Linked DNA regions of Macaca mulatta. The protein of the gene in region 5 interacts with the protein of the main gene of each other region in a pairwise test. Links are inferred from orthologs where the notes say so. Each region holds a gene or a part of one and is shown on either strand. Other genes may lie near its edges. The genes, in order: GIT1, CTSB, NIPSNAP1, WDR74, RGS2, PRKN and MTUS2.

Evidence for each region.
Region 1: the proteins of RGS2 (region 5) and GIT1 interact in a two-hybrid assay, tested with the Homo sapiens proteins (2 studies listed by BioGRID and IntAct). The link is inferred for Macaca mulatta from reciprocal best matches to the Homo sapiens genes RGS2 and GIT1.
Region 2: the proteins of RGS2 (region 5) and CTSB interact in a two-hybrid assay, tested with the Homo sapiens proteins (2 studies listed by BioGRID and IntAct). The link is inferred for Macaca mulatta from reciprocal best matches to the Homo sapiens genes RGS2 and CTSB.
Region 3: the proteins of RGS2 (region 5) and NIPSNAP1 interact in a two-hybrid assay, tested with the Homo sapiens proteins (2 studies listed by BioGRID and IntAct). The link is inferred for Macaca mulatta from reciprocal best matches to the Homo sapiens genes RGS2 and NIPSNAP1.
Region 4: the proteins of RGS2 (region 5) and WDR74 interact in a two-hybrid assay, tested with the Homo sapiens proteins (2 studies listed by BioGRID and IntAct). The link is inferred for Macaca mulatta from reciprocal best matches to the Homo sapiens genes RGS2 and WDR74.
Region 6: the proteins of RGS2 (region 5) and PRKN interact in binary tests that used the Homo sapiens proteins (3 or more experiments, as listed by UniProt). The link is inferred for Macaca mulatta from reciprocal best matches to the Homo sapiens genes RGS2 and PRKN.
Region 7: the proteins of RGS2 (region 5) and MTUS2 interact in binary tests that used the Homo sapiens proteins (3 or more experiments, as listed by UniProt). The two-hybrid records come from large-scale screens. The link is inferred for Macaca mulatta from reciprocal best matches to the Homo sapiens genes RGS2 and MTUS2.

Annotation. Positions count from the first base shown.
Region 1 is NC_133421.1:38,328,613-38,332,793, reverse strand, and holds the start of GIT1 (ARF GTPase-activating protein GIT1), read left to right. Parts: upstream 1-1,381; 5' UTR 1,382-1,428; exon of another isoform or gene 1,429-1,581; 5' UTR 1,582-1,660; coding exon 1,661-1,712; intron 1,713-4,181. UniProt on the Homo sapiens protein: GTPase-activating protein for ADP ribosylation factor family members, including ARF1.
Region 2 is NC_133413.1:9,424,750-9,429,008, forward strand, and holds the start of CTSB (cathepsin B), read left to right. Parts: upstream 1-1,459; 5' UTR 1,460-1,537; exon of another isoform or gene 1,538-2,666; intron 2,667-4,259. UniProt on the Homo sapiens protein: Thiol protease which is believed to participate in intracellular degradation and turnover of proteins. Cleaves matrix extracellular phosphoglycoprotein MEPE. Involved in the solubilization of cross-linked TG/thyroglobulin in the thyroid follicle lumen.
Region 3 is NC_133415.1:21,974,806-21,979,084, reverse strand, and holds the start of NIPSNAP1 (protein NipSnap homolog 1), read right to left. Parts: upstream 2,801-4,279; 5' UTR 2,770-2,800; coding exon 2,672-2,769; intron 1,857-2,671; coding exon 1,800-1,856; intron 989-1,799; exon of another isoform or gene 1-988.
Region 4 is NC_133419.1:11,218,826-11,221,403, forward strand, and holds part of WDR74 (WD repeat-containing protein 74), read left to right. Parts: intron 1-21; exon of another isoform or gene 22-680; intron 681-1,541; coding exon 1,542-1,659; intron 1,660-1,736; coding exon 1,737-1,883; intron 1,884-2,046; coding exon 2,047-2,148; intron 2,149-2,578. UniProt on the Homo sapiens protein: Regulatory protein of the MTREX-exosome complex involved in the synthesis of the 60S ribosomal subunit. Participates in an early cleavage of the pre-rRNA processing pathway in cooperation with NVL.
Region 5 is NC_133406.1:50,335,415-50,339,434, forward strand, and holds the start of RGS2 (regulator of G-protein signaling 2), read left to right. Parts: upstream 1-1,220; 5' UTR 1,221-1,238; coding exon 1,239-1,348; intron 1,349-2,341; coding exon 2,342-2,443; intron 2,444-2,545; coding exon 2,546-2,607; intron 2,608-3,173; coding exon 3,174-3,340; intron 3,341-3,594; coding exon 3,595-3,789; 3' UTR 3,790-4,020. UniProt on the Homo sapiens protein: Regulates G protein-coupled receptor signaling cascades. Inhibits signal transduction by increasing the GTPase activity of G protein alpha subunits, thereby driving them into their inactive GDP-bound form.
Region 6 is NC_133409.1:9,887,797-9,891,296, forward strand, and holds part of PRKN (E3 ubiquitin-protein ligase parkin), read left to right. Parts: coding exon 1-147; intron 148-3,500. UniProt on the Homo sapiens protein: Functions within a multiprotein E3 ubiquitin ligase complex, catalyzing the covalent attachment of ubiquitin moieties onto substrate proteins. Substrates include SYT11 and VDAC1.
Region 7 is NC_133422.1:9,399,800-9,403,299, reverse strand, and holds the end of MTUS2 (microtubule-associated tumor suppressor candidate 2), read right to left. Parts: intron 3,368-3,500; coding exon 3,154-3,367; 3' UTR 390-3,153; downstream 1-389. Other genes in the region: uncharacterized protein LOC114673599, read left to right, coding at 83-382. UniProt on the Homo sapiens protein: Binds microtubules. Together with MAPRE1 may target the microtubule depolymerase KIF2C to the plus-end of microtubules. May regulate the dynamics of microtubules at their growing distal tip.

The DNA.
Region 1 (4,181 bases), on a different chromosome or scaffold from region 5:
GGGGCGGCAGGTAGTACTCCTCCCTACATAGCAGCTAGGTATCGTTGCTTGCAAAAGCCCCACCAGCTGAGCGGCTGGCTGTCTGGGGAGGGGAGGCCTGAAAGATTTTTTTAAGGTGCAATTATAAATAAAGCCCATGGATCGCGATTTCAAACAAACTTGTCAATCCGGGCCGCAGCAAAAGGCGATGGAGGCAGCTTTGCATGTATTTCGGGTGGTGTGACTCATGAGAATTACTTGTCTCCCCTAGGGAAGGAGCCTGCCCACCCACAAGTCACTGCCGCTCTGGCACCGCTGGGATAAATCGACCAACTTGAGCACCCCTGCCAAAGGACTGCCCCCATCTGTTACCGAGCAGGAGTCTCTGACTTCGATAACCCCTCCTCAATTGTCACCACTGACCTGGCCCCCAGGTCTGGCCCTGGGGACCTCTGCCCTCTCCCCACAAGCAGAGTGCCCGGGCCTTTTGCTGCTGCAGGGATTGGGGGTTGGGTGCACGCGCGGCACACGTGTATGGGGGAGCATGCTCAGTGCGGGGGCTGTGCTCATGTGAGGCCTCCAACTAGGCTCCCTGCCCCCCAGCCCACCCACGTCCCTCACCTGCCTTGCCTTTGCCTGCCTCTTCGTGTGAAGTCCAGGAAGAAAGGCTGTCACCTGAAACGGCCCCTCTGTGTTATATGCACCCTTTCTGGACGCACACACCTCTGGTGGCCCAGAAACACCGTGTGTATAAGGCGGATGACAAGTGGATTTGAGTGCACACAGGCACAGTGGTCACTCCTTGGGAGGTCTTTAAAAACCGCCCAGATTCCTCTCTGGATGGAAGCATGCATGGAGAGATAGATATATTTTTAGTCCAGAGGCAGGGGAATACACTGCCTGACCTTTCTAGCACCTGGGCGTCCATATTGTTGGCAATGAGCGTATTCAGCAAGAGTGTGACACACGCACACACACCTGGACACACAGATGTGGACACCTACAGGACCGGGAGGCACACCTCACCCCAACCAGAGATAGAAGGGTACCCCAAGGCACAGCCCCTTTGACCTGGAGCGGGACTTGGGCCTCCAAGTCCTTCCTGCCTAATCCCCGCCCTCGCCATCCCTGGGCCCAGCGTCCCCCGGGCCACCCCACGCGGAAAGTGAAGGGGAGGGGGCTGTGAGGGTGACTCACATTGCCTCCGGGCCAGGCGAGCGCCGCAGCGGAGGCCAGGACCGCAGGCCCCGCTGCCCGCCGGGGCCGGGCATTAGCCGCGGCCCCTTTAAGCGCCCCCGCCCCCTCCCGCCCGCGCCCGGGCTTCCTTTCTCCAGGGGGCGCGGCCGGGAGCGCGCGGCGGGGCGGGGGTGCGGCCCCTCCCCTGGTGGGCAGGGCCTGCGCCGCTTCCTGCAGGAGCGGCCCGGAGCCGCGCAGGGGGCGGAGAGAGGAGTCGCGAGCGGCGGCGGGGCGGCGTGGGGCGGAGGGCGCCCGAGGGCGAGCGGGCAGGCGGGCACGGCGGGTTCCGGGCCAGCCCCGGGGCGGACGGTTGGCCGGGCGCGCGGAGCCTCGCCGGGGCCTCGCCGGAGCCGGGCCGGGCAGCAGGGGCCGCCGCCGCCGCCCGGGCCCGCCGCCCGCGCCCCCCACGCTGGCCCAGAGGGCTGCGGCCGCGTCGCCGCTGAGGATGTCCCGAAAGGGGCCGCGAGCGGAGGTGTGTGCGGACTGCAGCGCCCCGGGTAAGCGCGGCGGGGCCGGGGGCGGGACCGCACAGCCAGGCCGCCGCCGGGCGGGCGCCGGGGCCTGGCGAGAGCGCCGTGCGGGGCCGGAGGGCTGGGCTGGGCTGGGCTGGGCGGGGCGGGGGGCTGCGGCCTCCGGGCTCGGCCCCCGCCCCGGCCACTGCGGAGCCGCGTCCTTGGCGGGAGGGCTGTCCTGGGGGGCCCATGCTCCCTGGAGGCGGTGGACGAGCGAGGAAGGACGTTCCCGGCGCTGCCTCCCGCCCCTCGGTCTGAGGGAGGCGGGCAGCTGGCTGCCCCTCCACCTCCATCTCTATCCGACGGAAGCGCCAGCCTGGGGTGGCAGGAGGGCAGTGGCGGAGGCCGGCAGGGCTTGGGAGGTGGGGGCGAGTGTGGTTTTGTGTCATCTCAGTGCCACCCCCGCGTCTTGCACCTGCTGCTCGCGTGGTCGGCACGCCTGCCGGGGTGGTGGAGGGCAAGGAGCAGAGGGCCGGGCAGATGCGCCAGCGGGGCCTGGATACCGTCTCCTCAGGAGCAGATGAGCAGTGGCTACTCCCAGGACTCCCTGCCGCGGGTTCCTAAGGCTAGCGCTTTTTTGCGGGGCCTGGCGTTCAGGGCCAGTTCAGACCCGGGTGTCTTATCGGGAGGCATCACCAGGCCTGCTGGTGGTGACTGGGAACAGCTCGGCTGGACCCTGCTGTTCCTATTCACCGTAAGGCCCGCTTGGGAAAGTGAGCTTGGCATCAAGCTATCCTGGGCCCCGGCCCCTCCCTGTCCCCTAGCCCAGTCTGGCGAGAAATGGGTGGGAGGCAATGCCTAGATTCCCCGCATCCTGCTGGCTTCCTAGCCTGCCTCCTGGCTGTATTTACATGGTGGTTCTCTTCTTTTTCCTAACAGAGTCAGGACTGGGCTGGAGTGAAACCCCCCAGGCCTGCTGAGGAAGTCAGGGGTAATGATCCAAGAGTCTGCTCCCTTCTGATGGGGGAGGACAGCCAGTGACTGGGCTCTGCAGCTGGCCTGGGAAGGAAGCTCTAGCCCCCATCCATTCTTTCTTTAGAAAAGGAGCTATCTCCCTAGTAGGCCCCTGGGCAGGCTTCGGAGGTCTGTGAACTCTAGCGGGGCTGTGGGCATTATTAAGAGTGAGATTATGGGGTGCTGGTTTGTGGGTCCATAACTTTCAGCCACCCCTTGAGCAAGCCCAGGACCCCACAGGTTGAGCCTCACAGATGCTCTGGTGGTTCTGGGGGTGGTGCCAAGCTAGACGGTTTGGGAACTGTGACCCAGCAGGGCTTGGGCACAAGATACTCTCCTCCTTGGGGCTTTTGGTTTAGAGGGCCCTGGGGTTGAGGGTCCATACCCCTAAGAAACTATGACTCCCTTCCCCCAGCTGCAGGCAGGTCTGGGGATGGCAGGGCTGAGGACACACCTTGCCTTATAAATGTCTGCCCACTGTTCCGCACCTCCATGGGGTGAGCATGGCATGCATGTGGAGGAGAGGCTTAGCAGGCACCCTATCGGGGAAGCCTGGGGCATAGTGTTGCCTTTGTTCCCAGCTTACTCTGTAACCCCAAAAAGACTTTCCTCACTGTGGGGGCCTCAGTTTCCTCAATTAGGAGGCAAAGAAATTGGAGTAGAAATGGTTTCTGGGGGGGCTGTGATCTGATTCTGGGGTGGAGGGGTGAAGGGCAGCACCAGCAAGGCAGCAAGGCAGTTGTCCTTTCTCTGTTGCATTGAATGTCATCCAAAGCCTCTGGATGCCCAGTGGGCTCAGGGAGGAATGGTGGGCATCAGATGTGTTGGATTGCCCAGCTCCTACTCCTAGGTCCTCATCCGTCAGAGGAATTTGTGCCCCAGATGACTCTTTTCCCCTGATACACAATAGAGGTCAGGAAGATGGTGAGAAGGTGAGGATGGTGGGGTGGGGAGGATATGGACAGTCTTACACATCAGCCCACCTAGCACCCAGCGAAGTGTCCAGCACATGGCAGGCGCTCCCTGAGTGTCTGGCTTCTTGTCGGGACCCTGGCTGGCTGCTTGGGACTATCCCACACCTGGACCCTAGGATGCTGGCCCTGGCATGCAGCGACGTGTTTGGTCTGGGTCCTGTGGCATCTCAGGCAGAGAGGCATGAGGGTACCCAGCAGTCTGGAGTCCAGATCCAGTGCCAGCCCCATGGTGTATCGCTCCACCCCAGGGTCACAGCTTTCTTTTATTGTGATAGGAGCCCTGCAGTCCCAGCCACAGGAGTGGGGCCAGGGACTTTTTGTGCTTGGTTAATTTGAGGAGTCATGGAGGTCAGAGGTGAGATGCAGCCTGCCCCCAGAGAGCCCCATCCTCCCTCTGCTCCCGGGCCTGGGCACCCGGGACAAGTGCGAGTGTGTTGGTAGGCAACTGGACATGGCGTGGCTGCTCTGGCAGCTTGTGCCACCTCGTCAGGCACCGTGTGCATTCCTGCCTGCCTGGGGCGTCCAA
Region 2 (4,259 bases), on a different chromosome or scaffold from region 5:
AGGGTGAGCAGGCAGTTGGGACCACCTTGACCTCCAGCCTTCTGGTCCTCAGTTCCTTGGGTATCCCACTCCGCTGGGGGCTTAGTGACCATGTTTGGGCTCCAGAGATTATTTTTTCCTTCCACTCCTATCCTTAGTTTGGTACTAACCAGGCGGGAATACAGGTATGACTCTGAAGACCCTGGCAGGCTCAGGGCTGTGTGACAGCTGACGACCGGGCTGCAGGGAGCCACGTCCCTTGGAGTCCTACTGCCTTTTTACTGTCGCCACAGCCTGGATAAAATACGATGATTCTTCTGAACTTCTTTTTTTTTTTTTTTTTTTTTTAAGGCAGGGTTTCACTCTTGTTGCCCAGGCTGGAGTGCAATGGCAAGATCTCGGGTCACCACAACCTCCGCCTCCCGGGTTCAAGTGATTCTCCTGCCTCAGCCTTCCGCGCCACCACGCCCGGCTAATTTTGTATTTTTAGTAGAGCCGGAGTTTCTCCATGTTGGTCAGGCTGGTCTTGAACTCCCAACCTCAGGTGATCCGCCCGCCTCGGCCTCCCAAAGTGCTGGGATTACAGGCGTGAGCCACCGCGCCCAGCCTCTTTGAGCCTCTTGAATACAGGGGTCATGCCTGCCTTGCAGGTTTGTCTTTAGGATTAGAGCTGTTTGGGGAGGGTCTGGAGGAGGGTGTCTTGAGCCAACCCCAGCATCTCCCCTCCAGGCCCTCCCGCTAATAAACCCCAAGTAAATGTTCACTTTGTCAGTCCTCTCGGAGCAGGTCTCCCGGGACTCCTGTGCCAAGCCGATTTCCGCCCCCCAAGGTCCTTCTCCTCCTCTGTAGAAATCCTGACGCAGCTCCTAGGTTCCTTCGCGGTGACAGCCACCCTTTTCTATTTGTACGTAGCTGGAGTGTTTTGTGGGTACGTTCTCAGAACAACAAAGTGGAGCGTTTAAAGACTGTTCTGTAGGGTCCACAGCCTCGCCACCCCCAGCCCCTGCAGCGGCTTCTGATGAATGAAATAAGCGACGGCGCCCTCTCCCCCACCCCGCCCCCGCCAACCCGGCAGGCAGGGATCCCCGGCGCCGGTTCTGGCGGAAGCGGTCCCGCGAGGCGGGGGGACTTTTCTAGGTGGGGTGGGGGCTCTGGGACCACCTTTCGGGGCTTTTTCCCCATCCCCTGGCCCCAATTCGCAGCGTTTCGCCACCCAGGGCCCGCAGGGCTCCAAGCCCCTCTTCCCCAACCCGGGCGCTCAGGCCCCCGCCCTCCCCGGCGGTGTCCCCGGACCCCCGGCGGAAGGGGTGGGGGGGTGCGGGGCCGGGAAGAGGGGAGCGCGGGCGGCGGAAGGTGGCGGGAGGAGGTGGGGGCTGGGAAGCGGGGTGCGCGGGCAGCGGGAGGGCACGGGCGGGGCTGCGCGGTAGTCACGTGGCGCAGGACCGGGAGGGTACTTAGGGCCGGGGCTGGCCCAGGCTACGGCGGCTGCAGGGCTCCGGCAACGGCACCGGCTCCGCGGCGCGCAGGCTGGGCTGCAGACTCTCGGCGGCAGCGTTCGGTGAGTGCCGGGGGCGCGGGGTCACCGCGGCGGAAGTGACCTTGGCGGGGACGGTGCCACCGGCCGCCGAGACGGGTTCTTCTGCGTCCCCGGTCGGGCCTAGGCGCGGCCCCGCGGCGTTCCTGGGGGCAGGTGGGGAGCCAGGACCCTCGGGACTGACCCTGACGGGCGGGCTGGGGTGGGAGCCCGCGCACTCCGAAGCGTCGACAAGAAAAGCAGAAAACAGCCCCGCCGGCCCGCCCGCCAGCCCCCTCCCCTCTGCTCCCCTCCCCGGCCTGTGCGCGGGACCCCGGCCCCCGGAGCGGGGACGCGGCCAGGAGCCCCGAGGGAGGCGCCTGCGAGGAAGAGCTCGGCTAGGTCCGGAGGCTGCTGCCTGGGGTCGCGCTCCCAGCGCCTGGGCCTCGGTGTCCCCGGGACAAACTGCCGAGATTATCGCATCTGCCGGCATCTATTTTCGGTTTATTTCCCCCTCGTTCCAAAGGATTTGCCTGGCCAACTTTCTGCGCAAGATCCCACACAATTCCTGGGACCCCAGAAGACAGGTCCTGTTGAACAGGGATCTGGCACTGGGTGGGCTGGGGAGGAACCCGCACGGAGTTAAATCCATAAACAGGAAGAGAAACCAAGCTGCGAAACCAAGAGGCGAATGGGCGATTGGATGCCGGGTGGGGAGAAGGCCAGGGACGCTCCCTGCCCCTGGACTCCAGTAAAGGGAAGCCGGGCAGAGTTCCTGGGGCCCTACCTCCCCCTCGGTTAGTAGCCCTGGAGGCCGGGGGGAGTTGGCCTCTGGGGAGCAGTAGGTGCCTGGGTGTGGGGCGCTGCAGGCAGGCTGGGGTGGGTGACCCAGCTGGAAGTGAATTGCACTTGGCTTCTTGGTGGGCCTCTGTCACCCCCTTCCCCAGGCATCGAGGAAGCCAGCAGGCTGGCAAGGAAAAGGATCCTAGCGCAGGCCCTACACCCCTCCTCCTAACGGAGGAGAGACCCCCAAACCCACTGGAGAAGCGATGCTGTGGGGCTCAAAGGCAGACCTGGCACGTTTTTGTAGCCTAGAAAAACTGATCCCCACTGCCTCCCGCCGGAGGAGAGGATAGCTGAGATGCACCCTCTTTCAGTCCAAACGTTCAGGAAGGTAAGGCGAAGAGGCCTAAGAGGGCGTTGGCTTGGTTAAGGGCTGCTCTTTCTCTTCCATAACATCGGTTCTTTTTTTTTTTTTTTTTTTTTTTTTTTTTTGAGATGGAGTCTCGCTCGGTCTCCCAGGCTGGAGTGCACTGCCGCAATCTCGGCTCACTGTAACTTCCGCCTCCCAGATTCAAGCTATTCTCCTGCCTCAGCCTCCCGAGTAGCTGGGATTACAGGTGCCTGCCACCACACCCAGCTAATTTTTGCATTTTTAGTAGAGATGAGTTTTAACCATGTTGACCAGGCAGATCTCGAACTCCTGACCTCAGGTGACCTGCCTGCCGCGGCCTCCCCATGAGTCACCATGCCTGGCCTGGCGGAGAACTGTTTCTTCTTGGTGATGGTGACTTAGAACCCGCCAGCTCCTGGAGAAAGGGGCTGGGCTGCCCACCCTGTGTGGCCTTCCCAAAGACAGAGTCAGACGTCTCCTGGAGAGCAGAGGCTTCTCCTCCTTTTTGGTCATTTGTCCCGGAGCTGGGGTATCCCCTGGTGGAAAGGCACAGGTCTCTTGGCCCAGGTGGCAACGCAGACCAGACACGGCCCTGGCACAGCTCTCGCCCCAACAGCTCTCCTGGATGTTGGCTCAGGACAGCCCTGTTGTCAACTGGTCAGGCGGCGAGGGGTGGCAGCCCTTTGGCTCCAGGTTGAAGCGGCCCATGTGGTGCTGATTTAGCAGTTTGGTGAGGCTCTTCTCCTGGGCAGCTTCTTTTCTTTCCCTAGCTGCTGGACCTGGGAGTTGGAAGATAAGTTGCACCCATTTTAGGGGTAACAGATATTTTCTGTTGCTCTTGGTTGGATTGGGAAATGAAGGGAGATCACGTTTCAGGGGGGCCTTGGGATGTCTGTCGGTGATGTTCTCTTTCTTTTTTTTTTTTTTTTTAAGACAGACTTTCCCTCTGTCGCCCAGGCTGGAGTGCAGTGGTGCACCCTCCACCTCCCAGGTTCAAGCAGTTCTCCTGTCTCAGCCTCCCAAGTAGCTGGGATTGCCGGTGCCCATCACCACACCTGGCATTTTAAAAAATTATTTTTAGTAGAGACGGGGTTTCACCATGTTAGCCAGGCTGGTTTTCGAACTCCCACCTCAGGTGATCCGCCTCAGCCTCCCAAAGTGGTAGGATTACAGGTGTGAGCCACCACGCCGGGGTGGGGGTGATTTTCTTAAATCTGTTAATGAGTTATGGTTGTGTAGAATAATATACCTTCCTTTCGAGATATGGACTGAAACATTGAGAGGGAGGAGTTACAGGTATGCCACTTCTTATCCTTTTCTCTTTTTTTTTTTTTTTGAGACAGAGTCTCGCTCTGTCACCCAGGCTGGAGTGCTGTGGCACAATCTCCCAGGTTCAAGCAGTGCTCCTGCCTCAGCCTCCCGAGTAGCTGGGATTACAGGCATGCACCACCATGCCTGGCTAATTTTTGTATTTGTAGTAGAGACAGGGTTTCACCATGTTGGCCAGGCTGGTCTTGAACTCCTGACCTCAAGTGATCCCTGCCTTGGCCTCCCAAAGTGTTGGGATTACAGGCGTGAGCCACTGTGCCCAGC
Region 3 (4,279 bases), on a different chromosome or scaffold from region 5:
GACAGACGTAAGCCACTGTGCCTGGCCAAATTTTTGTATTTTTTATAGAGACAGGATCTTGCCATGTTGCCCAGGCTGGTCTCAAACGCCTGGGTTCAAGCGATTCTCCCACCTGGCCTACCAAAGTGTTGGGATTATAGGCGTGAGCCACGGTGCCTGGCCCAGGTCCATTTGATTTAAAAGCCCACACTCCATCCCCACCCCAGCAGCCTCATTGCCCCCAAACTTCACAGGCCAGAAGGGCTGCTGCTGGCCCTACTAGTGACTCCAGAGAGATATGGGGCAGCCTGAGGGCAGCAGGACAGAGTGTTCTCAGGTATCCAATGTGGAATTAAGGCATAAGTAACTGCAAGATGGTCCTTGAGGGACTTGATAAATATTAATCCAAGTGTCTTCACAGCAATCCTGCCAAACACACCAAGCAGGGATCACCATCCCCACTTTCCAGAAAAGGAAACTGAGGCTGACAGAGGTTCAGCAACTCATCCAGGGTTACTAAGTGAGGGGCAGCAGGCTGACTCTAAGACCCATGCTCCTTTTATGGCCTCTGGGTGTTTGCCACACAAATGGTTTTACCACCAATCCATTCTGTCCCTTCCCCAACCTTGATGTTTTCATCTGGAAAACAAAGGGCTCATAAAGGATGATCTTCCCAGAGCCCTTTGAGCCTCAATATTATGTGGGTCTCATGCAGAAATTGCTTGTAACATAGGCTAGGGGCAAGGAGCAACACTTGCTGCATGTTTGTCAAGTGCCAGACACTTCACAACCACGGTATCTTTTTTGTTTTAGACAGAGTCTTGCTCTGTCACCCAGGCTGGAGTGCAGTAGCACGATCTCGGCTCACTGCAACCTCCGTCTCCTGGGTTCAATTGATTCTCCTGCCTCAGCCTTCCTAGTAGCGGGGATTACAGGTGTGAGCCATCATGCCCAGCTAATTGTTTGTATTTTTAGTAGAGACAGGGTTTCACCAACATGGAGAATTTTTTTTTTTTTTTTTTTGAGATGGAGTCTCTCTCTTGTCGCCCAGGCTGGAGGCTGGAGTGCAGTGGCATGATCCCAGCTCATTGCAAGCTCCGCCTCCTGGGTTCACGCCATTCTCCCGCCTCAGCCTCCTGAGTAGCTGGGACTACAGGCGCCCGCCACCGCGCCCGGCTAATTTTTTGTATTTTTAGTAGAGAAGGGGTTTCACCGTGTTAGCCAGGATGGTCTCGATCTCCTCACCTTGTGATCCGCCCCCCTCGGCCTCCCAAAGTGCTGGGATTACAGACATGAGCCACCGTGCCCGGCCATTTTTGTACTTTTTATAGAAACAGGATCTCACAGTGTTGCCAGGCTGGTCTTGAACTGCTGACCTCAAGTGATCCGCCCGCCTAGGCCTCCCAAAGTGCTGCGATTACACATGTGAGCCACCATACCCGACCAAGCACGGCATCTTTAGTCCTCAACAACCCTATGAGATACTTCCTGTCTGATTACTCCCATTTTACAGATGAGGAACCCGAGGCTTAAAGAGTCCTGAGGTCACCCCACCTAGAAATTCCGAGTTAAATTTGTTAGTGCCAGGCAAACTCTAGGCTCTTCCCACGGTGTCAGCTTTCTCCCTAATTACTGGGCAGTCTGGGTGGGGGGCTTATGCCACTCCTCTTTCCCAGCTGTTGAAAAGCCCCACTGCTCTGTGCTGTAACATCTCATGGCAGGCTCTAACAGAACTTTGCAGCTTCATTCCTGGGCTGCAGGGCAGGAGGGATGCTTGCTTCCTTTTCCCAGGTTGGGGGAAGGGGAACAGGTGGCCTCACTTCTTTGGTAAATATTCCTTGACCATACACAGTCCTGAGCCCTCTGAGGGTGGGAGGCTGGGGAAACAGAGAAAAATGAGATCAGGGTCTAGCGAGAGACAGACAAGCACCAAGTCATAACTGTGCAGGGTGATATATGCAGATGGGGGAAGTACAGGGCTGTGGGGACCAAGGAGCGAGGGGCTGCTCAGGGACCGTCAGGGAGGCCAATCCCTAGCTCAGCCCAGAGCAGGGCCCAAACAAAAGCCCAGGCTGAGAGCACATGGCCCAGCCAGACTCCCACTCCCAGGAGGCCACCAGTTGGGTGCAAAGTGCATGGCGCATTGGCAGGCCTGGGTCCCAGATCTGGTTATGCCATGGCACAGCAGGGAGGGTGACCTTGGACAACTCCCGTCCGTTTCCCCACCTGTACAGTTCGAGGTGGGGGAACAAAGGGTCTGTGCAGCCATGGCCCCTGGGGATCCCCCACTGCTCCCCTGCCATCATCTCTTTCCCACCGAACTTCCCGACGGAGGAGCTGACTCTACCAGAAGCCTCCAGTGGGTGTTAAATCATAAGCTACGCCTGGGAATGGGCCACTCCTCCTGTCTTCTGCCCTCTCCCAGTCTCCAGGGCCCAGTACCTGCCCTTCTCACCATCTTTCATCAGGTCCCCATCACAGCCCGGTCCCAACCAGGACAAAGACCCTACCCATCCCTTTCTCGCCTCCCCCATTCTTTGCCCAGACCCTTCCCTAGGCCTTGATCCTGCCCCGCCTCTAACCCCCAGATTCCAAGAGAGGAGTCTCTGCCCCTCCCCCGCGGCCCAGTCCCTGGCCCCCGCCCGTGCACCCCACCCCGCGCGCTTCTGTCCCTGCCTGGCCCGGCTCTCACCGCGCCGCAGCTGCAGCCGCAACGTCCCCAGCGCGGGGCCCCGGGCCCCCCAGCAGCCGCCGCGCCGCCACAGAGATGCTGCATAGCCGCGGAGCCATGTTGGAGCCGCGAAGGTTGCAGGAAGGCCCCGCCCCCAAGCCTGGGTGAAGGAGGCGGGGCGCGAATAAACTCCACCCCTCCGACTCGCCCGCCCCCTCCACTCACCCGGCCAGGTGGGCGTTGCCCGTGGGCGTCTCCAACTCCGCAGGTGCTTGACGGAAGTCAGGGTTCTAATCCTCTGCGCGCTCTGCGACCTTGGCAAGCCCTTTGTCCACTCTGGGCCTCAGGATCCACCTAAGTAAAATGGGAGCGTGGAACAATAATACCAAGGGTTCTTAACACGGCTGTCCGGGATGTGCAGCAGAGGGTCAATGTAACCTCCCCATGGGTTCATTTTGCCCGTTTCATTTTTCCCCGACAGAGCGATTTATCAAGACAGGGGAATTGCAATAAGAGTTTAATTCATACAGAGCCGACTGAATGGGAGACCGGAGTTTTATTGTTACTCAAATCAGTCTCCCTGAAAATTCGGAGACTGGGTTTTATTAAGGATAATTTGGTGGGTAGGGGCCAGAAAGTGGAGAGTGCTGATTGGTCAGGTCGGAGATGCCATCATAGGGAGTGGAAGCTGTCCTCTTGTGCTAAGTGGATCTCTGGGTGGGGGGCCACAAGACCAGATGATCCGGTTTCTTAATCTGTGTGTCGCCTGCGGATCCATTGAGTGCAGGATCGGAAAAATATCTTGAGCACCAATCTTCGGTTTTACAGTAGTAGCTCCCCTAGGAGCCGTTGGGAAGGTTTAGAATCTGTGGCCACTACCTGCATGACTTCTGAACCGTAATTTCTAATCTCGTGGCTAATTTGTTAGTCTTACAAAGGCAGTCTGGTCCCCAGGCAAGAAAGGGGTTTATTTTGGGAGAGGGCTATTATCTTTGTTTCAAAGTTAAACTATAAATTTGTAGCCGGGCATGGTGGCTCATGCCTGTAATCCCAGCACTTTGGGAGGCTGAGGCGGGTGGGTTAGGAGTTTAGGTCAGGAGTTCAAGACCAGCCTGGCCAACAGGGTGAAACCTCGTCTCTACTAAAAATACAAAAACTTAGCCAGGCATGGTGGCGGGCACCTGTAATCCCAGTTACTCGGGAGGCTGAGGCAGGAGAATCTCTTGGAGGCAGAGGTTGCAGTGAGCCGAGATTGCACCACTGCACTCCAGCCTGGGCAACAAGAGCGAAACACCGTCTCAAAAAACAAACAAACAAACAAAAAGACTGTAAATTAGGCCTATGCCCAGAAATGAACAAGGACAGTTTGGGGGTTAAAAGCAAAATGGAGTCAGTTAGGTCAGATCACTTTCACTGTCATAATTTTCTCACTGTTAAAATTTCTGCAAAGGGGGTTGCATCAGTAAGCCCCCTGAAACTGTATACAACATTATGTGCTCCTGTGTGGTGCATTCTCTGGGGAAGGGCATTCACAGGCCAGGTTTATCATCATCAAAGAAACAAACTTCCTTATAAGTGAAGACGGGGACAAGACTGTCAGCTGCAGACACTTTATCTCCACCATCTCCT
Region 4 (2,578 bases), on a different chromosome or scaffold from region 5:
GAATAGGAAGTACCATAGTCGCTTTCTTTGCTGCGTCTACTGCAAGAATGAAGACGATTCTCAGCAATCAGACTGTCGACATTCCAGAAAATGTCGACATTACTCTGAAGGGACGCACAGTTATCGTGAAGGGCCCCAGAGGAACCCTGCGGAGGGACTTCAATCACATCAATGTAGAACTCAGTCTTCTTGGAAAGAAAAAAAAGAGGCTTCGGGTTGACAAATGGTGGGGTAACAGAAAGGAACTGGCTACCGTTCGGACTATTTGTAGTCATGTACAGAACATGATCAAGGGTGTTACACTGGGTTTCCGTTACAAGATGAGGTCTGTATATGCTCACTTCCCCATCAACGTCATTATCCAGGAGAATGCGTCTCTTGTTGAAATCCGAAATTTCTTGGGTGAAAAATACATCCGCAGGGTTCGGATGAGACCAGGGGTTGCTTGTTCAGTATCTCAAGCCCAGAAAGATGAATTAATCCTTGAAGGAAATGACATTGAACTTGTTTCAAATTCAGCGGCTTTGATTCAGCAAGCCACAACAGTTAAAAACAAGGATATCAGGAAATTTTTGGATGGTATCTATGTCTCTGAAAAAGGAACTGTTCAGCAGGCTGATAAATAAGATCTAAGAGTTATTCAGCTACAGAAAGAAGATGCCAGATGACTCCTAAGACCTACTTGTGATATTTTAATGATGCAATAAAAGACCTGTTGATTTGGGGGGAGAAAAAAAAAAAGAAGTACCATAGTCAGCACTGGGAACCTGTAGGAGTATGGAGGATAGATTGGAGACAGCAACTGGGAGACTTTTGTCACAGCTCAGGCAAGTCGAAACAGAGCCTGAACCCAGCTGGGGAGGGTTGGCAGGCATGAGAAAGAACATAGGCGCAGGCTGTGCAGATCCTGGGGAGAGACTTGCTTGGACTTCTTGAGATACTTTAAGCAAGAGACTGACATTTAGTGCCTGAAACCCAGAGCAAGGAACATAAGAAGCTGGTGTTTGACTTTGACCAAACCCTAAATTCAGACCAGTCCCATTTCAATCCTTTTAGAACTGCTGATCCTGAGCCCTAGTAGGCAACTCAAGATTCAGATAGACCAGCACGGCCAGGTAGACCAGTACGGCCAGGCGCTAGACACAGCTGTGAACAGCAAAAGCACTCCGGAATATTACAGAGTGGATTTCCAGCTGTGGTTGTAACATAGCTGAGTGGCAGATTAGCTTCTCAGCACTTCTGTTTCCTCACTTGGTAAACTCTCACCCTGTTGAATAAGTTGAATTAACAGTTGAATAAGTTGAATTAGGAAGCTGGAAGCTGTCAGGCTCTGCCTAGAGCCTAGTGACCTAGAGGCTTTCTTCTAAACTGGACTGTTAGTAGGGAATCGGGTTGATATGAGTTTGGGGCCTAGGAATACTTTTGTACTTTTTTGTTTGTTTGTTTTTAAACATTGTCAAGTCTAGTAGTGAGAAGGAGAGAAAGATTAGAACAAGGAGTTTAAGCACTTAAAACATCCCAACTCTGTCCTTTCTCTGCAGCACCCTCATCACATGTGTGGATTCTGGGATTCTCAGAGTCTGGCACGACAATGACAAGAACACATCCTCTGACCCAGTGAGGCTTCCCTGCCCTGATGGTTGGGGGAGGAGGGCTGGGGTAGGTGCCTAATGATTGTGTTGGGGAAGGGAGGATTAAGAACTCTGGAACGAACTCTTATCTCCCATTCTTTTTAGCTCCTGGAACTGAGAGTGGGCCCTGGGGTGTGTAGGATGCGCCAAGACCCAGCACACCCCCATGTGGTTGCCACAGGTGGGAAAGAGAATGCTTTGAAGATGTGGGACCTGCAGGGCTCTGAGGAACCTGTGTTCAGGGCCAAGAACGTGAGTGACAAGAGTGTGAAGGAGCTGTTCCTGAAGTTGAGGGAGGCTATGGCCACTGACTATGTGTCAGAGACTAGATGGGCTTTAGGGGGCGAAGGAGGGCTGAAAGGAGGAGCACATCAAGCCCCCCACAGCCCTGTTCCCCATCTGCCCACCCCACCAGGTGCGGAATGACTGGCTGGACCTGCGGGTTCCCATCTGGGACCAGGACATACAGTTTCTCCCAGGATCACAGAAGCTTGTCACCTGCACAGGGTACCACCAGGTAAGGTGTCATCTCACCCCTACCTTCTCCTGGGATAAAGCAGCCTTCTGAAGAAATGGCCCCCACGGTTTGGCACAACTGCCTTTCTCACCATTCTGAGCTCAAAGGAGCAAGCGCGTCCCCATCCGTTCCAACCCTGTCCCTGAGCCCATGACTGTCCTCTGCTGCATTCTAGGGTGGAGTTTCCTGAACTGTGCTGTTTTCCTCCCACCTGGAAGAGAGGAAAGGACAGTGGATTCCCTTCACTGTGGGAGTTATAGGGTGCAGGTGTCAGAGGACATTGGGCTAGGGGTTAAGAGAACTGGGTTCTGGTCCTGATGCAGCCTCTCTGATTTGCTTTGGGACTGAGGCCTGAGCCTCCCATCTCTGGCCTCAGCTCCTCAGCTTTACATGAAGGCCCCAAATGAGAAATCTTTATGGCTGTCTCATT
Region 5 (4,020 bases):
GCTAGTTCTGGTAATATTGTACGAAATCAACTCATTTTGTGGTTGAGGTAATCTATTTGTTTTTACCAATCAAGTCGTTTTAAAACCTTCAGGAGTAGAGATGATACTTGAAGAATTAACAAAAAACTTAATGAAGGAAACTGTTAACTCCTCCTTCCCCCTACTTTTTGCCAGTTATTAAAAGTTCTGGTAAATCCTAACTCAAAACAAGAATGACTCATGAGGAAATCCTGACTCCTTGAACTCATGATTCTAGTGCATTACAGCTCTGAAATATCTGTGTCTCCAGCTTTCTCTCCCACCATAAGGAAACTTGTGATTTCCATTTTGGCAGATGTGACCAAGGGCTCCTGAGGAATGACCCTATAGACAGACCCAGCCACTTGCCTAGTAGTGATCAAAAATGCAAATCCAATTAAAGCACTGTCTTCTGATAAAGTCACCTTCTCTTGTTCAATCCCTAATGTTCATTCCCAACGTGTTTCAAGACGCCCCAGCAAGCTGCAGAGCAGGTCCCACCCTGCCCCCGGGCAGTCAACGTTTCAGGTTACACCTTCCTTAAATTAAGTGGCAGAGAGAAACGGGGGAGGGTCTCCCCGTAGCCTCAGTTCATTGACCAGGGTGTGTCGAATGAGTCCCTACAGTAGGACAGCAAACAAGAAATGAGGCGCGGGGTCAGGGAACGCGCTCAAAAAAAGAAGAAAAATCCCACTCTTCATTCAAAATCAGGCCACTGAACTCCGGCCTCGCGGCGGGCGACCTCCTCCTGCCAGGGAATCGCCGCTCTGGCCTGGGGCTGGGGAGCCCGTCAGGGTGGGTGGGTGAGGGAGCGACGTAGCCTCCGCCAGGCCGCAGCCAACTTCGGCTCTCTCCCTCCGCCGCAAGCCCCCGCCTGGCCACCACGCTTCAGCAAAAGGTCGTGGGCAACAGCCCACACTGAAAAGTCCCTGTCTGCTCGCACGCCGGCCCCAGCTGGCCGCTGCTATGTAGTCCGAGTGCGCAAGAAGCCCGGGCCGCAGACGTCAGCAGCGCCCTGGCTTCCAGACCCTTCGGCGTTAACCGAGACTGCCGCTGGCGGGCGCTGACCCCCATCCCAGTGCCCGTTTGCAACCAACCAATCCGCGTCCTCTTGAGGCGGGGCCGGAGCCGCGAAGCCCCGCCCCCAAGTCGCGGCTTCTTATAAAAGCTGCGACGCACGCCCAGCAGCCAACAGCCGCGGCCCCAGCGGGAGGACGATAATGCAAAGTGCTATGTTCTTGGCTGTTCAACACGACTGCAGACCTATGGACACTAGCGCTGGCAGCGGCCACAAGAGCGAGGAGAAGCGGGAAAAGATGAAACGGACCCTGTGAGTATGGCTTTCTTCCCTCTCCCGCCACCCCTGCCACACACTGCGAGCTGCAAACGCGGTACTTTGGGCTCGGCTTTGATGTTAGGAAACTAGCCCGAGCCTCTGCAGGGGAAAAAAAAAATCGAAAAGGTCAGTTTGTTAAGGTTAAATCTGGGTGATGCTCGGGTAGAGTTTAGGAACCGAGGGAGATAGTTGATATGAGGGCCGTGGTGGATGCGCTAAGAAATTGCGGGTTGGCTTTTTGTCCTCCTGCATTCAAAATGACATCAGAATCCTGCGGCTGAAGCGCGTCCCCAGCATGCATACGTTGCATGATGAGTTCTCATCAGCTTACACAGCTCCTGGAAGGAGATGCTCTTGCTGGTTGTGAATATACTCGTTTAAAATCCATTTTTGTTTTTTAATTATAGAGCAGATCTCACCCAGTCATGAATGTGGAACAAATAATTGTTCTGCAGCGTCTGCTTAAAAGAAGTGTTGTAGGTGGGGAAGGAAGAGCGCAGGGGAATCAGTCACCCACCTCCTTGTACACTGTCTCTGGCATGCTCCAGAACCTCTTGCTCTAAAGAGAGAAGCGTGGGCCGGCTCCAGACAGTTCCACGTCTGTCCTTTTCATTAAATTGTAAAACCCCTCGGAATTGTAATTAACCTTGCAAACAAACTGATGCCCTTTGTGAGCCAGAAATAGTATCTGCCTTTTGAACTAAATTCATTAACAATTCTTTAAAATACCCTAGTGATTGTAGGTAGCCCTGCCCTTAGTTGTAAAACTAGTAGATACGATCAGTTTAATGGATGAAACTGCTCAGTACATGAGGTTTAAATGTTAAGTGGATAAGACTGTTATTTGAAGAGTTCTTGCTTTGCCTTATGCGGTTTGTCTCTAGTTACTGGGTGACTTTATTTGGTAAAAATGCGTTCAGCTGCAGTAGCATATTCAAGTGTTGCTACTTAGTGATTATCTTTTTTAAATTTTTTTGTTTGTTTTAGTTTAAAAGATTGGAAGACCCGTTTGAGCTACTTCTTGCAAAATTCCTCTACTCCTGGGAAACCCAAAACCGGCAAAAAAAGCAAACAACAAGCTTTCATCAAGTAAGTTGAGAATCCTGTACTTGCAAATGTTAATAGTTAGTTGCTGAACTGAAAAGGGGAACTCTGATGTGCATAAGCTAACATGCAGAACCTCTCTTGCAGACCTTCTCCTGAGGAAGCACAGCTGTGGTCAGAAGCATTTGACGAGCTGCTAGCTAGCAAATGTAAGTTAACTCTTGAACTTTAGCCATTGCTAATATTGCAAAAGCCTGCAAAGGCTGGGTCCACACAACAAAAGAGCAGCTTGCCTGAGGGGGATTAGACTGCAGTCACTATTGGATAAAGCCTGTTTTTCTCTCCTTTATTTCCCAGGGTTTAACCATGGAAATAAATGCATGTATTTCCTCCAGGTGGGGAAGAAAATCAGCCTAAAAAAATTAAAGTGGCAGTTGCTTATAGTTAAGGTTGAGTCAGTTTTTCCATTGCATACAATGTTTTCAAGAGGCTTAGTTCCCAGAGAATTTATGTCTCCCCTATAAATATTTACTTTGCATTGACAGCAAAGTACTTATATTTTTGCAGCAGAGGGCCAACATAAGCATTTTGCCTACTGGTATCTTCGTCTTTAAAAAGCTAAATTTTGAGAATTACAGGTTTAAGCGAAATCTAGAAAATTGCTGTCATTTAGAAATAATTAAAATGTGAGGGAGAAGTACTAGGAGAAACATAAAGAATCATTTGGTCACTCGGTTCTTCACATTCTGCATGCTTTCTTTTCTCCCCCCTTCAGATGGTCTTGCTGCATTCAGGGCTTTTTTAAAGTCGGAATTCTGTGAAGAAAATATTGAATTCTGGCTGGCCTGTGAAGACTTCAAAAAAACCAAATCACCCCAAAAATTGTCCTCAAAAGCAAGGAAAATATATACTGATTTTATAGAAAAGGAAGCTCCAAAAGAGGTAAGGAAACAAGTTCCTAAACTGAGCACAATCTGGACATTTTTAGCACAAAAGTGAAACAAAATAAGGGCAAAGTGGGGCTAGAAGGAGGGGTAAAAAGTCCCCCCATGTTGTAGCTTTCAGTTATGTTAAAGTTCTTCTGTGACTTAGGTAGTAAAGCTAATCACACATAATTTTTATTTTTTGTTTTCAAATACTAAATTTTAATCTTTAACTCTGAACACCAAATAAACAACTTTTTTGTTTTATTTCAGATAAACATAGATTTTCAAACCAAAACTCTGATTGCCCAGAATATACAAGAAGCTACAAGTGGCTGCTTCACAACTGCCCAGAAAAGGGTATACAGCTTGATGGAGAACAACTCTTATCCCCGTTTCTTGGAGTCAGAATTCTACCAGGACTTGTGTAAAAAGCCTCAAATCACCACAGAGCCTCATGCTACATGAAATGTAAAAGGGAGCCCAGAAATGGAGGACATTTCATTCTTTTTCCTAAGGGGAAAGACTGACCTGCCATAAAGACTGACCTTGAATTCAGCCTGGGTGTTCAGGAAACATCGCTCAGAACTATTGATTCAAAGCTGGGTAGTGAATCAGGAAGCCAGTAACTGACTAGGAGAAGCTGGTATCAGAACAGCTTCCCTCACTGTGTACAGAACGCAAGAAGGGAATAGGTGG
Region 6 (3,500 bases), on a different chromosome or scaffold from region 5:
GAAACACGGCGGGAGGCTGTGAGCGGGAGCCCCAGAGCTTGACTCGGGTGGACCTCAGCAGCTCAGTCCTCCCAGGAGACTCTGTGGGACTGGCTGTCATTCTGCACACTGACAGCAGGAATGACTCACCACCAGCTGGCAGTCCAGGTAATTGGAATGCCCTAAGAGTATTAGAGCATTCTGTTTGTTTGTTTAGTGCAGTCTCCATGGAGCATGGCCTCACCAGGTGCATATTTAGTGTCGATACGTTTTGGATTTGAGTCTGTAATTCACTCCAAGGAGACATCACTGTAGGTGGAGTACTTTGATGTAAAATTTGAGAATGCATTTATTATAAGTACTATGAAACAGGTTTTCACATTGAGATTAAATAGAAGAGATATGTTTCTAGTGATGTAGAAAAATTCTAAAAAGTAGAAAGATTTTGAAAGCTAATCGAGCCATTTGTAGTTTCTCAAGCCACATATTCCAATGGCAATGACATCCTTAGTGTGAAAGGATTCTTCCTTCTCTGTTCTACCACCCATTTCAAAATGCTTTTCTTTGGAAAAGATGGTTATTGTTTAGTTATTTTTAAAATATTAATATGTGTCTCTTAGTCTTTTATTCTCTAAATAGTCAAAGGTGTAATAGAATTAATTTTTACTGTGTCTGACAGAATACACAAAATAATCACAATGACTTTACAGGGTAGAAGTTGATTTTCCTCCCACATACAATAGATCCTGGCAGTTGTGGGCTGGTATGGCCTTCACAGTGTCAGAAAGTTCTGGGACCTGCAAGATGGAAGCCTGACGTAATAAGAAATGCCTCCCACTAAAATTACTAAATAAAATTTAAGGAATTAAAAATTTTCAATGAGCTTGCAAAAAATAAAAAAAAAGATAATTTTCAAGGACAAGTGAAAATGTAGAAGCAACATCTTTAAATACAGGAGTAGATAAACCCAGAAAGTAAGGCATTAGCTGATGCTCTGGTGATCTTGAGATGACTGTGGGAGGGAAAGAGGCTCTGCTTCATGTGAGCTGGGCACCTCAGGTCTGGAAAGAAAAACTGAGAAATGGAAACAAATGTCAAAAATGGGGAAAAATGAAATAAATCTAAACCCCTGCAATGCCCTTGTGATCCAGGATATGATAAATTAATATAAATATCAAACCCAAGCTCCTCACAATTCTGATGTTTCAACCAGAGTATGTAGAAGATCATTCTGACATTGACACCTCTAGAGAAAAACAAGCCCTACTAAAGGATACTCAGTGCTCCAACATTATAAACCAAACAAGGGAAAATTCCACCTTGAGGGTGTATGAGACCAGAATATACCACCCCAAAATATGCCATGTTAGCATAAGTATTATTTTGAGCTGATTATTTTGAGAAACAGTAGACATAGGACAAGCTCTAAAAACAGAGCGGAAGTCACCCTTTTGTAAGGGAAATTTATATCTACCAAGGAAATCTCCATTTGTAAGGGTGTCTCCCTCTCCTTACTAGGATGAGAAGGACAGAGTCTCTGGAGACTCTGATTCTTGAGAAGCCACCAACTTAATAATCTGCGTAACAAACCTTACTCTTGTCTTCTCCTCTCCCTTTCTTCCTTTGCCGTAGAAGATAGTATCCAAGCCTGAATTTTAGACCACCTCTTTGAGATTTATGCATTTTTTCTGGATGTCTAACATGTACGGTCATCCCTCCCCATCAATAGGCAATATGTTTCAAGTCCCCCAATGTAGGGCTGAAACCAAAAGTGGTACCAACTGTGTAACAGATTGGATTTATTATGTTAGTAGACCTATCTACTAGTTCTTTGATTTCCCAAAATAAAATTCTTACTAAAAATAAAAAAATCACATTGTTTAGAACAAAATTAAACCTTTACCTATTACTGAATATTAAAAACAATTTTAGCACAATAATCATATTCTGTACATATTCACATTCGTTAATCCATTTCCTAGTGCATCTGTCTCTACTATCTTATCAAACATATTTATCTGACTCTTCTTATTTTGTTTTATCATAAAATTGTCCTTGGTCTTCTCCAGAATTTTCTTTTATGAGAATGAACTTAGAATTATTGACATTTTCAATTGACTTTTTTTGTCTTTCTCTCTAGACCATAATTTTTTGTTAAGAAAATATAGTATTCTCTCTATATAGGGTCTGAAGTACCAGTAGGCACTGAGAAAATTCTGCTAAATGTATAATATTCTCTTTATTTTTAAATTGAAATGTGTAATTATTTCCACCCAAACAATAGACAATAAATTCTAGTAAATGTGTGGAATGCGGTAAATGACAGCAGCTTTCAGAGTACTGTGTGGCCTATGATGACATGCTGTTTCACCTTTACTTTCCACCCATGTCTGAGTCACATCTTACCTCTGATCACCATGTTTCTCATTTACCCCTCTGTCTTGTGGTCTGCCAGCTTTGTGCATTTTGCAGGCTAGGGACTGGCTTAGGCAACTCTACATGGTGCAGCTGGGGGCTGCAGGGGTGCCCTCCTAATACACTTCTCCCTGCACCACTACAGACTGGGGGTGACTTCCTGGTACCCTACATACTGCTACTGAAAGGCCTCTGTGTAGTTATATTGCATCTGTAAAGGATTGGGAAAAGAGACATGGCTTATCCCAGGTCAACTTTCAGATTTAACTCTGTGTTAAACTAACAACTAAACTACAAGTAATCCTCTCCTACTCATTAGAACCGGAAGGAATCCTTTTCAGAACCCTTAGGACTCTCCCTTGTTACTTGCTAGTTTGTACTCCAGTTCCGACTTCGCCTTTGAATCTCTTTGAGGATGGAGTTTTTGTCCAGTTAACTGTAGTTTTCCTCAAAATCTCTTAGAAGAGTGGTGAGACATGTTTACTAAATTCCTTAAAATTGTAAACATAGTAAGTCATTCATCAGAATTCCTGTGCATTTAGCTTTTAGAACGAATGCTTTATTTAAGATTATACAGAGAAAATGAGACTTCATCTCTTCAAATGTCTTGGTTCATTCTTGGTTTGAGTTACGACTTTGGAATGATTTGAAATGACTATATGCAAACAGTATGCCTATATGATTATTTTTCTTCACTAAAAATTATAGCGTAAAGTTACTAGAGCAGAGAGTCACAGACTGCCATGTGCAGAATTATCTTGCATGCTTTTCCATGTTTCTTTGATGGCCAGAATGGCAAGAAAAAAAATAAATCTTATTTCATTACTTTTCTGTGACCAGAAATTCTGATGTATTTGTCTGGGGGTAGAGGCCGCAAAATGTTGCTACTGATTACACTCTGAGAAACTCTGCCCTATCGCTACGATTTTCCAGTCTTACAATTATGGATCCTACGTGTTGTTCTCATGCAACAATCGGATGCTGGGTGGGAGAACAGAGGCAGGTTGGTGAGAGGTGAACACACCGAGCCAACCACAGAAGCCTGAGACAATTCCTGTCTACGTACTTCACATATTAAACACATACAACATCTGTCGTTTGGAAAG
Region 7 (3,500 bases), on a different chromosome or scaffold from region 5:
GAGGTCCAGCTGGCGAAACCAGCTGCAGCCCAAACTGAAGGCCATCGGGATGGGGGGAGCAAGCACTTTCAGGTTGAAATGAATGAATGACCTTTTGTGTTCTCTTTCCAGCCAACTCCAGCACACCCCAGCCTTGCAGAGCAGAGGCACTGCGCTCCCACGTCCAGGGGAGGGGCTGCTCAAGCCCCCAGGCTGGAAGGGTGGGCGCAGGGACCTGAGACCTGCTGAGTCAGGGGAGAGGGGGTCTCTAGACTTCTCGCATGGACGATCACCCAATCCCAGCACACACAGAAAAGGGGTCCAGCCTGCAAATGCCACCCCCCACCTTGCCTCCCTGCCTGGAATCCCCAGCCTGAGAGGGACAGGACTCCAGTTAAATCAAGTAGGTATCGCAGAAAGTCCCTCAAGTTTATTTTAATAGGCTTTAGAGTTAAACACAAATATGCAACACAAACTGTAGGGGCGGGAAAAGGGATGTTGTGACCCCATTCATTCAACCAATCACTGCCAGGGCTGTCCCCACCCCCATCCGTTCTAACATCCAGCCAGAACCTTGTCCCAGCATGTGACGGGCAGGGGCGGGGGTGGGGGGCAGGCCGCCCATGCATCCCCCAAATGCCACAAAAAGACAGGTGGTACCTGGTGGGTCTGTCTGAGGCAGGTGCAGAGGCTGCAGCATCTGAACATGGAAATGTCGCTCCAGCCTGGAAAGGGACAGAGGCAGACACCACGTGGAGAGAAATCTGAATTCTGATGGTGTGGGGGGTGGAAGAATCGGGGAGGAGGCACAGCAGCTGCTGCCCCATGTGTTTCTGGAGCAGTGATGGCTCAGATGAGGAGCCATACACGATGGGTGTCCATAACGAAAGAAAAAGCAAAAAAAAAAAAAAAAAAAAAAAAAAAACACGAAGCCAGGGCCATGTGGAAATTAGCTCAAGTACCCAAGGTCAGGGTGGGTTAGGGTAAAGCTCTCACCAAAGTCCACCTAATGAGGAATTACTTAGTGCTAACAATGCTACAGCTCTGACCACAGCAGCCTAACACACTGTACCACGTTCTAGCATCACACGGAAGTCGGTATTGCTGTGTAACTGCGTTTAGCAGGTGCGGCTATGTAAGCGGTTCCTAATTCGGGCAGCTAAGCTGAACCGAATGTGTGTTTGCAGGTTGTGCCTGCTACAAGAATAAATGATTGTGTACTTAGTCAATGTGGCATGATCTACTCTAATGGAATGCCCAACTCAGTATCACAGTATCATGCAGAGCCACTAAAGCAAAGAGAAATGGTGGCACTTCCATGTGGATTTACTGTGTATGTCCCCAGAAGGAGCAAGACCTTTGGAGGTTTGCTGGAGATGTACCCGAGGCCCGGAAGCTCAGCTTGGACTCAGGCTAGGGCCAGGGACCATGTCTGCCTTCATGTTGGCCACACGTGTGCCGCGTAGGCGCGCCCTGGGCAAGCCGACTCCGTCCGCTGGCTGTTTCTTCCCCGCTCCATGGCTCTGGCCCCTGCAGGATCCCCTCATGGTTCTTCTCGCCTTGGGCACACTCAAAGACAGGCCTGTGCTCAGGACAATTTTGGGGGGCCTCAGGGAGAAAGTGCAGGGTCTTTGTCGCATACAGGAAACAAGCGCATCATCATCATCACCATATATGTTAAAACTACTTCTTTCTTTTGTGTATCATGCTCCTAATCTTCCGCACCACTACATGAGTACTGTTCATATCCTAATTCTACCATTTTAGAGACAGATGCCAGTCCAGGAGCTGGTGGCCCCTGGCTGGCTGTTTCACTGGGCTCCTCTGTTTGGGAGAACCTTCTGGGTCTAAGATGGGCGCACGGTCAGCAGCAGCGTTGGCTGATCATCCAGCAGGAGGTGGAAGTGGGTTTCTGGGTGGTCGTGTGATGATCTAGCACAGCTCAGAACTGGTTCCCCAGGGATAGAAACGGTGTGTTTTTCTGGAAGCCCCTGCCAGAACCCCTGAGCCATCTCAGTGTGCACTGAAGGGGCTGAGTTGTAGAACCAAACTGAAGTGGGGGCTGCTATGAAATGGGGGCCTGAGGGTCCTATTTCAACGAGTTGATCATTTACGGCATCGCGTCAGAGTGAACCACATGGCAAGCTGGAGTGCCGTCCCCCTCTGTGCCTGATCAAAATACAGACCCTAGCAGCAAGTTCCTTCATGAGGATGGAGCGCGAATGGGCGCTGTCATCTCCAGGGTCATCCTCACTCTCTCTCAAAGGTTTTCCGGAGGGTGCAACCTGTTTTCCGGATTGTGCAACAATAGCTTAATGACCGAGTCTGAGATGCCATTTAGGAAAAAAGCAAAACTGTGTTTACAAGACTGTTAGAGATGAGTCACTGTCATGAGAAACGTCTGCAGAACTGTTAAACCCCCTTCGGGTTTCCCACTGCTCTCCCTCAGCCGCTCATGACAGGAGTCTCGATAATGAAAACTTGCGAATGGAATAATAGTGATCTCACATCATGTTGACTAAGAAGCTGATTGTTCCAAAGGCAGTTACCGTTCACAAATAGCTGGTGTTCGTGTTAAAGAGAGCACCACTTGGTGGTGAGTTGAAAGGCGCTTCTTCTCTGTATCTTTTTTATTTTTTTTTCCTTTTTCTATTTTGGGTAGAAATATTCCTGGGAAGCTAGATAGAAATGCATTTTCATTTCCCAATAATTCTTAGGCACAAGTTAGAAAACTGCTGACCGTCACTAAAATATGTCAGCACTTCATATTATAAAAAATGAAATTGAGAACCGCAGCATGTGTATATACGTATATCTAAATATACACACATATCGGTGCAGTACACAATGATTATTCAATGTATATTGAAAACTGAGCTTTTTGTAACCTGAAATTCTGCAGTGAAAGTTCATTGCTCAAGAACAATTGCAAGTGTCTTTCTTTTGGCTCTAACTATGGTAAAACGTTTGCACATCAGACTTTACCATTTACATGTTCCTAAGTGCTGACACCAGGGCAGTCTTACACGGGGATCAGAGGAGGACGCGCCTAGGATGCATTCGCAGCTACTGAGCATGCGCACAGGGCCAGCTCCGGCGGCACCGGCTCGGTGCTCCCTCGGGGTGGAGACTGGAGGACGAGAAGCCGGAGCTCCCGCAGGCCGCGCAGTGGCGTCATCTGGGTGTTGTGCTGACTCTGGCCGGAGAGGAGGGCCCCGAGGAGGAGCCGCGGTAAACGGGAGATGTGGGCGAGAGTTTAATCGGGCTGGTTGGGTCCCCAGTTTGGAGCTTCCAAAGCAGCTCTTCGTTGGTTCGGCTCAATCTCTTCTTCTCCTGGGTTTCCTTCTCAACATACTCCTGGAGGTTAGCGTTTTCCTCCGACAGTTGTCTGCACGGGCACAGTGACAAAACAAGTAGCAATCATGCTAGTGGACACCGAACCTGAGGTCACGACAATGGGTGCAGGACAAAGGGAGGAGGCCATGATGCCATCAGGGAGAACAAGGACCAGGGCGACCCAG